2 linked regions of the Danio rerio genome follow. The protein of the gene in region 1 purifies or fractionates together with the protein of each later gene. This does not show direct contact. Links are inferred from orthologs where the notes say so. Each region holds a gene or a part of one and is shown on either strand. Other genes may lie near its edges.

Evidence for each region.
Region 2: the proteins of dusp10 (region 1) and mapk9 purify together in Homo sapiens (affinity purification with mass spectrometry; 3 studies listed by BioGRID and IntAct, with this or other methods). This does not show direct contact. The link is inferred for Danio rerio from reciprocal best matches to the Homo sapiens genes DUSP10 and MAPK9.

Annotation. Positions count from the first base shown.
Region 1 is NC_133195.1:55,218,788-55,224,745, reverse strand, and holds part of dusp10 (dual specificity protein phosphatase 10), read left to right. Parts: intron 1-3,102; exon of another isoform or gene 3,103-3,412; intron 3,413-4,328; exon of another isoform or gene 4,329-4,356; 5' UTR 4,357-4,411; coding exon 4,412-5,156; exon of another isoform or gene 5,157-5,699; intron 5,700-5,958. UniProt on the Homo sapiens protein: Protein phosphatase involved in the inactivation of MAP kinases. Has a specificity for the MAPK11/MAPK12/MAPK13/MAPK14 subfamily. It preferably dephosphorylates p38.
Region 2 is NC_133196.1:35,023,260-35,028,206, reverse strand, and holds part of mapk9 (mitogen-activated protein kinase 9), read left to right. Parts: intron 1-2,312; coding exon 2,313-2,452; 3' UTR 2,453-4,947. UniProt on the Homo sapiens protein: Serine/threonine-protein kinase involved in various processes such as cell proliferation, differentiation, migration, transformation and programmed cell death.

The DNA.
Region 1 (5,958 bases):
TATTTTTGTCTTTCGTCAAAAATAAAATAGCAGACTTCTTCAAATCGCTCGCTCCACGGAAAATATGCATATATTTAATGCCCCGCTGTTATTATTATAATCACAAAACCTTTTTACATTTTTAATAGAAATCATTATTTTAAAGATTATGTCTTGATGTGGTTTCCTTTCTCTCCATCGCGCCTCAAGTGCGCGCGCTAAGTGATGAGAAGACAACAACACGCGCATATGTTGACTTTTTGTAAACAGTTTTGTTGTTTAAATATGATATTGCATTAATGTGCATACATGCTTTATAAGCTCTAAAATAAAAGGTAAAGCCTATTTGTTGCGTTTATGGATCCAGGTCAACATCAGCGCTTTTTTGGCATCAACACGTCTGTTAAACAGCATATTCTTCTTTCATTTTGCTTCTTTGGCAAATGTGTCTGTAGGCACGGGTTATACGTTATCGTCCCGCAGGTCAAATATGTCTTGCAGTTGAACAAGGGGCCGAAAATAATCTCACTGCCTTTATGTTGACAAAGAAAACAGAGAAGAAGCGCGGTCCTCTTATGAAACGACTGAATCAGCTGGGTATCGATTGTGCAAAAGTGTTGCTGTCTGTTACAATTGTAATATTTAATACGATTGTGATATTTAAAAATTTTACATTCATACAGCTCTGGATAACTTAAAACAGCGATTAGACCTTCAGAGCAGTGTTAATGCGTCCTGAAATAAAGCGAAACGGCTATAAACTCCAGCATGATAGAGTGATTATATGCAGAGTCATACTTTATCTATAAATAAAGTATAACTATAGAAACGGTGTTCATCTTAACTGAAAGCTTCTGAGAAGGCTGTCAAACTGACACCATCCAGTGGACACAATCAGAACAGCAGTTTCTTTTATTAAAAAAATTGCAGCTCATTTTTGTACTTTACAGAATTATCCCGCGGGCCGCATTAAACCCGTTTGCTGGCCTGATCAAGCCCGCAGGCTGTACATTTGACACCCCTGATCTAAATTGATCGATGATTGGCTACTCGACTAGTAAGCGGTAGGGCTGGGCCATTTGGCAAAAAAAAAAAAATCTAGGTTTTTTTATAAAGTTTGACAGATTCAGGATTTCGATTTTTTTTTTTTTTTTTTATTGTGTTACTAGTCTTCTCAAAACATTACAACAACATGACTGAAGTAACATTCTCTTTAAAAGTAACTTGAAAAAACATCTGTTAAGGAACATTGTATTTTTAATGGCCATGTCATACAAAAATCAGTCAAGGTGTAAATAAATGTAAAATATTCATGAGTTAAATAGCGTTGCTGAAGATTTGAGTAAGAAATAGTTGTGTAAATATTGCACTTGCAGGAATACAGAGGTATTTTAGAGGTAAGTTTTGCTGAGCCTAGGAAAGATTGGCTGTCAGCTCGGCTTTCGCTTTGTCTTCTGATTGAATGACAGGTTGTAAAGCTGCTGCCTTTTTCTTCAAAAGATACAGTGGAAGAAAAGGACTGAACATGGAAACTGTAAAGCCTAATTTAACCCAATGTGTGAAGTTATGGACGTATAGCAGGAGCAAATACAAGCACCAGATGTGTGTCTAATATAAATTAATATATTTAATCTATTTTTCCTTTTTCCCCTTTTAAATACCGATCATTTGATGCGCTTTGATCCACTCTCTGTATCATGCTGCCTGATCTGTCTGGTTTTCAACTAGGTCCGCTAAATGACGTCATGGGGGGCGGGTACTTTCATTTTCGCTGCTACTGGCCCTCACCTCTACTCGTGTTCGAACCAAAAGATCGGCGCGGTTTTTCACATGGCAGGGTTTTACGTCCTTCATACATGTTGAGATCGAGTTTATCGACTTGATGAGGGAATGTCTTGACAATCCACACAGACGTGACTCAGACTAATGCAACAAGTAAAATCCTACATGACTTTACGCTTTAACAGGCAGTCAAGCAGGTCGTACACCAGAAGCGCCACGACACGGCGCGCACATGACAGTTTAAACTATCACACACCAGACGCGCACATTTGCATGATATTTAACATGAAACCAATCAGATGGCGCTCTGTGGCGTGGCTGAAATATGAACTGCCTCCTGAATCGTGGCTGGACCGCGCCGGTGTGTGTATAGAAACCTGTTTAGCCGAGAGGTTCTGGTGTGCTTCCTGCTTCATAGAGTGAACCAAAGCGCATTGGTGCCATTATAATGTATTAAATATATTTTTTTTTAAAAATCGCGATTTCTCGATTTGAAACGTAAAGCCTGATTTATACTTCTGTGTCAGGTGACCGGCGTAACTCACGGCGCATGCAACGCGCGTGGCTGTGCATTTATACTTCTGCGTGCCGTCTCTGTCGGTCTGCATTAACACTTCTGAAACGCTAGTTGGCAGTGAGGTGTAACTGTTCCTCTGTGTCGAGTTTCTTCGCTGCTTTCTTGGAACTGGTGGGACGTGCAACAACTTTAACTATGAGGTAAACACAAAACAAAACTTTTCACCCGGAGCTCCTTCACGGGACTCCACACTTGTAAACAATTGCTTGCGCCATTCGCGCGGCTCTCGGTCCCGCCCAGACTCGTCAGCTCTACCAAGCCGACCAATCACAGAGCTTACGCTACGCGTCGTTGCGACATGTAGTTACATTTTTTGAGAGGTGCACGTCAGTGATGGCGACGGCCACGACGAAGGGCTATGCGTCAGCGCCGTAGCATACGCCGGTGTTTGACGCAGAAGTATAAATCAGCCTTAAACCTAAAACGTAAATTTGAATTAGTCGAAAAAAATAAAAATAAAAATCGCCTAGTAAGCGGGGCTTTATTCGCAATATTGCCTTTTACACTTTTCCCCATTTAAAACTATGCGAGTGACATGTCTTGTGTATTCTTTAGTAGGGATGTAACGGTATTGTAAATACCGTCATACCGCAATATTAATTTTTTTCGATATTACCGAAGTCGCATGACTCGGTAAAACTATAGGTCTTCTGAGAAAATTTGCTTAGGCGAATGAAGCGAACGGGAGGTAGCGAAAACTACAATACCCATCAGCCCCTGCTTGACCATCATCCCTTGCGGTCTGTTGTCGCTACAGATCCAGTAATGCGGAAATGGAGTGTGCTGCTAGAAGCGGGGATGAAAAGAGCTCTCGAGCGCCGAAAACGGAGCGTTTCGAAATGTGTGGATAATGTCTCAGTGTGGATAATGGAAAACGGAGACATCTGAAAACTGAGTCGGGGCTGCAGACATTCGCCTCTCTGATTGGTGCTTTTCCTGAATATTAAGTAGCCTAACACGCACAGTTCAGTCCTGCATCATCTCCTTGTAAGTTCAGACTTCGCAAGTTTGATCAAGGCTGCAGTCTCTTCTTCTCAGTTTGATATGGAAAAGCAGATTATACCGAGGACACGGGTAAATCTTCAAAGGGAACAGTGTACTTTATAACTTCATTCACATCACCCTGGCTTCGTTGTTTCACTTTATTAACAATAAAATGTAAACATGATTTAAGGAACTGCCTATTTTCATTTTAATATTAGCAACTTAGACAGCAGACATGTTGAGGCGTCGTGCTGCATATATGAGAGTCATCTTCACTGTGAGGATATTTATAACAAAACGGAGCCGATAACAACTGCCTCCTTTCAATTTCAGTGAAAATACGAAACACAGCCTCTCTTTTGCTGAGTATCTGTTTTAATAATCGATAATGGCCATTTTAAAAGTATAACATACAATAAGTTTATACATTATAGGAAATAAAGGCAAGCGATCAGTCAATATACAGAATGTACGTGGTTACATTAATCATTAACTTATCTTTGCGCTCAGCCAAAACACGTTACCTGAGAACAAGTAATAGATTCCAATGACCAAAGTCAGGGAATATGTCGTTAGATAAAGACAACAAGATGAATGAAATATCCCGTTTAATAATTAAATATAGTGAGATTAGATCCAGCGGGAGATGCTTGATGAGAAGTCCGACTAGCAGAGCTCTCATCTGTGTAGATGGGCGAGTGTGATTAAATGTTGAATGTGATGAGTTTTCAACAATACTAAATTGAAACTTTATTATTTTTACATGGTTTAATAATTTTTTGTTATTAAAATTGAAGTTCCTGTTTCAAAGCTTACAGATAGATGGCTAATTTGTATGTCATTGACACTTTTGGCACTTTTTTGGAGTATTTTCATAAGTTTTGTTTTTTCCTGTAAATGATTCAATAAATACCGTACCGTGACATTCATACCGAGGTATTACCGTACCGTGAAATTCTGATACCGTTACATCCCTATTCTTTAGTCTTTGGTGTAGCGTACTCACTGTTCGATGACTCTGTTGTGTTTTCCAGTGCTCGTCAGGACGTCTGAGTTCTCCGTGCTGTGCCAGCCCTCTGTGGTCTCTCCATGCCTCCGTCTCCTCTAGACGACAGAATTGTGGTGGCGCTGCCAAGGCCTATCCGACCTCAGGAACTCCGACTTCGCCTGGACACCAGCTACCTGGAAACCACCGTCGGCAAGACCACGGTAATCAGCAGCACCACCGTGGTGAAAATCCAGGCCGCCACGCTTTCGTATATGCCCTCGTCCAGCGGCTCCACACGCTCGCTGACGTGTGGATGCAGCAGTGCCAGCTGTTGCACCGTGACCACCTATGAAAAAGACGGCCAGGTCAGCGCCAGCAGCCCCAATTTACACTCTGGATCGGGATATGGCGTCCAGCAGGGGAGTGTGCACGGCAGTGCACCCAGCCTCACCTCCAGCCTGACCCGGGGCGGCATGCGGGTCATCCACCCTAATGAGCTGGCTAAAAAGCTGACGCATTGTCCATTAGGTCACCCGATCGGTCCGGTTCCCGTTATTATCGATTGTCGGCCGTTTTTGGAGTTCAATAAGAGCCACATTAGGGGTGCGATGCATATTAACTGCTCTGACAAGATCAGCCGCCGGCGCCTCCAGCAGGGTAAAATCACCGTCCTGGACCTGATCTCCTGCCGGCAGAGCAAGGACTCGTTTAAAGGGATTTTTTCTAAAGAGCTGGTGGTGTATGATGAGAGCACAGTGGACCCGGGACGGTTGACACCGTCTCAGCCGCTGCATGTGGTTTTGGAGTCACTACGTAGGGAAGGAAAAGACCCCATCGTTCTGAAAGGTAGGCAGATGTTTCTCTTAAATCATTATTAAAGCACTTAGCCCTTGCGCTCACCTCTACCTCTTGGAGACTGAGGTCTAACACTAACACGTTTTAGTTTTAATATGGCATTTTAGTATGAAAATGATTCACGTCCACACTGGAGTTTCACCTACTGTTTCTGAAAAAATCTCCATCCACACTATATACATGGTCGTGCCGAACTGAGTCTGGTTCTCTCAAGGTTTTTTGTCTTCATTCTCCTATCAGGTGAAGTTTTTTTTCCCTCTCCGCTGTCGCCACTGGCTCGCATGGTTCAGGATTGGTAGAGCTACGCATCGATGAATTTGCTCTTCAGTGTTTGAACTCTCAGTAATGATTTTAAATCACACTGAACTGAGCTAAACTGAACTGAACTGAACTTAAACACTGACAACTGAACTACACTGTTCCAGTTACTATGAGCATTTATGTGAAGCTGCTTTGACACAATCTACATTGTAAAAGCGCTATACAAATAAAGCTGAATTGAATTGAAACTATACCTCTGAAAACACACATCACGTGACCACACACACACTCTGTCATGCGCTGCAGCGGGTCTGAGTCCACTACATCCTTTTAGAGGTGCATCCAGCTCTGTGAGCTCAAACTCCTCCAGAAACTTAACCTAGATGACGGAGGCTTTCAGTGGTGCTTCTGACTGAGCCCAGCCCAGTTTGATGAACTGTTGTCGGTGAAGGCTGGAGGATTTCCCTCGAAACACCGACAACAGGTTCTACGTCACAATCACACCCCCACAAGAGCAAGCTTCTGATTGGTT
Region 2 (4,947 bases), on another chromosome or scaffold:
CGCAATCTGAAACAGCTTTTACTAAACGCAAAAATCGCAATGCTATGAAACATGCATCAAACTACGCATCATGGTGGCGTAGTGGGTAGAACGATAGCCTCACAGCAAGAAAGTCGCTGGTTCGAGCCTCAGCTGGGTCATTACTGTGTAATGTTTGCATGTTCTCCCTGTGTTGATGTGGTTTTCCTCTGGGTGCTCCGGTTTCCCCCACAAGTCCAAAGACGTGGTACAGGTGAATTGGGTAAGGTAAATTGTCTGAAGTGTATGTGTGTGAATGAGTGTGTGTGGATGTTTCCCAGTGATGGGTTGCAGCTGGAAGGGCATCCACTGTGTAAAGCAGGTGTGTCCAAACTCAGTCCTGGAGGGCCGGTGTCCTGCAAAGTTTAGTTCCAACCCCAATCAGACACTGGCCTAGCTAATCAAGCTCTTACTAGGCAGTCTAAAAACATCCTTGCAGGTGTGTTGAAGCAAGTTGGAGCTAAAATATGCAGGACACCAGCGCTCCAGGACAGAGTTTGGACACCCTTGGCGTAAAGCATATGCTGGATAAGTTGGTGGCTCATTCCGCTGTGGCGACCATAGATTAATAAAGGAACTAAGCCAAAAAGAAAATGAAGGAATGAAACCTTTGCTTTCAAAAAGCGAAGTTGTTTTTTTGCTGCACCGATCAGATCACAAGAGCAACTCATTCCTGCTATTTGCAGTAGTGCTGCCTTGGCACCGCATTCAATATTAATAATAAAAGTTTTTGTAATCTTAAATGTGGTTATTTCATTGGCTTTTAAGCTGTAAAATGATGGTTATTGAGTTAAATGTAAATATGTAAAAATCAATTAATATTATTTATCACTAGATCTACAGAGGTGGTAATTTTGACCATTTGTAATTTTTGCTGTTTAATAACTTTAAGATAAAACACCTGTATCTATAATTCCATGACTTTTACTAAAATTGTGTATTTTCCTTCTAACATTGATATTTTATTAAAATGAAAAAAAAAAAAAAACACAAAAGAGTTTTTATTTCTACCTAGATAAACCATAGCATGCATTTTGATGTCTGCTACTTTTCCCTGTAATTTTGCCTAGCAACTTCATGCTAACCAAAACAACTTTCTGTTGGCAAAAACATATCTTCAAAGATATGTCTTTCAAAACAGCATGTTTAGTGCCATGAAAAACCTTCTCCCCTGCTTGTGAAAGTGAAAAAAAAAATGGATTCATTCATAAGTGGTCTAATGTTGCCTAACTGTATATATTTATAGGTTGTATTACCAAAAAGGTTGTATTTTTAGGGTAATGACTTAATTAACTATGATAACAGACAATCAAAGCTTAATTTTATAATCTCTGTAGAAGTTTTCTATGACAACATGATGTCTTGTATGAGAGCGGTGACCGCTATTGTAATTTTATTAGCTATAGAATGTTGGTAGTTCCAATCATTCGTTCCTTCATTTTCTTTTCGGCTTAGTCCTTTTATTAATCAGGGGTCGCCCCAGTGGAATGAACCACCAACTTATCCAGCACATGTTTCACGCAGTGGATGCCCTTCCAACTGCAACCCATCACTGAGAAACATCCACACACACTCATTTAGCTTACCCAATTCAACTATAGCGCATGTCTTTGGACTTTTGGGGGAAACCAGAGGACCTGGAGGAAAACCACGTGAACACATGGAGAACATGCAAACTCCACACAGATATGCCAACTGACTCAGCTGAGGCTCGAACCAGCAACATTCTGGCTGTGAGGCGATTGTACTACCCACTGCACCACCTTGACACCCTGTGGTAGTTCCAGTGTTAATGAAATAAAAATAATTATTACAAAGCAGTTTAGGGTTTCCAGCCAAGTGCATGCAAAATGTTGGGTTTCACCCTAAAATTTTTATTTCAGTGCATCCCTACACTGTAAAAAGAATCCTGGTTACTTTAAATATTTAAGCTTAATCAAATGAATCTATTTAACCTATGTTAGACTGACTGAAAACAGCTTGTGTAACTTATACAATTAAGTTAGAACATGATATTCTTGGTTTAATAAGTTTCAATGAACTAAAACATTTAGTGTCACGACTAATTGATCTTTTTTTTTTTTTTGAAGTGTAGTAATTGCAATGACATGAATGCAGCTAAATTTAGTTTCACGTCAAATGCATTTGTTTAGCCTTGATGTTTATAATAAATTCAATCACTTGGAACAGTATGAAACAGGTGCGGGGTTAAATGTTGCCTGCATTCATAAGTATAAATAACACATTACCCTCAGAGACACTCATAGTAATGGATTGCTCTTTGTGCTTTGTAGACGGTACGGTTAACAGCAGCGCCACTCCCTCCCAGTCGTCCTCTATTAATGACATCTCATCCATGTCGACGGAGCAGACGCTGGCTTCAGATACCGACAGCTCTTGCATTGACACCCTCACGGGCCCATTGGAAGAGTGACTCCAGTGACTTCCAGCTCTTCTCCCTCATGTCACATCGCTGTGTGGGCCATGCAGAGGTCTGGACTGAACCGTGGGTGCACGTTCATACAGCTTCAAGTTTACACTTCACTATTGCTTTTAAGGGACTGCTTTTTCCTCTCTTCTCATTCGTGTAGTATTAGCTTTTGAGTTGTAGGCTGATGCTCAGATTACACTCCAACAAAAAAGCATCTTATTTTCTTTTAGATTTTATAAAGGAACTCCGTTCAAATAGACAGAAGAGTGCATTAATGCGTTTACATTTCATTTTACAACAACTAACATGCCATCTTCTCCGGTGGAGTTCTTATTGCAGCAGCATATGTAATATCTGAGACTATCCCTGTCATTAATGCCCTCGCTCTCCCCCTGTGATGTAGCTTTTATTACTATTCATTTCATCACCTAAAAGAAGCACAGATATAAATTGTTGAACTTTATAGCTAGCCATCCCCTCCAGAACCAATTCCTGTTACAAGAATTGCTGCATGATATTAACAAGAACACTTATTAGACAGACAGCGCAACTACAGATTACTGAAATACGCCTAAACACACGTAGGAAACAGAACAATAGTGCCTGCCTCTGTATATAGTCACCATACACCCATTTTAAAAGAAAACCCAATGATGGATTTCAGTTGGTTAGGGTGTAGTCAAGTGTGTATATACGTACATAGATTTCGTGTAAATGTTCGGATTTTCTTTGTTCGTGCTGTGGAAACCATTTTACAGCTTTTTAATATCTACTCTAAAACAGATTGCGATGCGACTTAAAAATGATTTAAAAATACAATTGCACACAGAGGGTCAAAAATTAACATTCAGCTTTTTAAAAAAGTGCATCTAAATTCAAAATGGTACACTGTAGATGCAAAATCCAAATCGGAGTCCCGTTCCTCATCATTCCAAGAGTAATTAATCACTGCTGGCAAGTTCATGACGTATTTCATACGACTGTGTTTCATTGCATGAGCTATTGCAATCCATTGCCTTTTTTAATCTCCTCAAACTTGAAATGCCTATAAGAATGTTATATAAAGCAAATTTATATATATTTTTTTTTTACTCTTAAGAAGTCTTGTCAGTGGCTTTTTCTTTCTTTTTTCATTAAGATGCTCATATATTGACAAGCTGAAAGATTAGTCATATTCTTATAGATTACCAGGAACATTTTATTAACTTTGCAATTCAGTAGCTTTTTCCATCCAAAGATGTGCATTAAATCTATGCGCAAAACTGAATTATCGCATAAAAGACGTGCGAGTAAAGCAGCGTTTCCATCCAATGAGCAGTGGCAGTTCTAGTTTAAATGGCACCCTTGGTGAACACCCTAAATAGACCCCTTTACCCATCCCCTGAGAAATAAAGGCTGGGTCCGAAACCGTCTACTACTCTGTAGGTACCGCATTTGAATTAAAACAAACTATTCTGCCGTTAAAAAAAGTTTGTTCTATACATTATGAATGTGAGCAGTATGAATGGAACATGGATGTACTACATCCGCCATTTTGTCATGATCACCTCACCTACCCACGTGAGTTGCGTCGCTTCACTCCCATTCATATTGCATAATGGGATAGCGCAGCATGCATTGGATACACTTTATAATCTTGCTGGAATTAGTAGGTCATCCGAATACTTCTCGCATACTGTTTTTCGAATTCTATGAATTCAGATAGAGAATAACAAACTTTCGCATGCAAAAGACGCCAAATGTGAATGACCCCTAACGTCCTTGTACTGAGATTAACACCCTAAATTAATTCACTTGCATAAAGTAAATCACATCTTGAAGCTTTTAATGGGACATGGTTGGTTTTTACTGGGGCGCTATTTATTTTTTGCACCATCTCCCTGTGCCGCCCCCAGCAATATTGCCCATGTCTAAATCTGCCACTGCCAATTAGTTAAAGAGAACATTTCAGATGTTTTAGAGTGTTCAGCCTGCTTGTTTATCCATTCACACACATTTTTATGACATGATCTCTTTTACCAAAATCACATGACCTTTTTTAATGTGCATACTGGATTTTGTTCAGTAAAAGTGATTCCATTGTAGTTTATTTGCATTTTTTTTTAATTGAATAAAAACTTTATGCTACTCGGTTATGTGCAAAATTTAATGCACATTTTGGCATTTCTATTAGTTTTTTATGTTCATATGCAAATAGTTGGATGGAAACAGCTAGTGACATACTGTGGCTAATCATACCCTTTGACTTTCTCCTTTTTAGCTATGGTTTTCATGATTGAGAGCCTTTTTTTTTTTACTTCCTTTCTTCCCCATTCATTCAGTTCAAAAATAGATGACTGTATAAACTAGTGTTCTGTACCCTAAATTCATTATGCATGAGAAAACAAGCCGCCTTCATTCAGAACTTGAGGATGTTGCAGAATTGTGTCCTCTGGTTGTAAAAAAATTGATTGAGAGCCTCAGGAGGACAATATGAGTGTTGAGTTTATCTGGCTCCA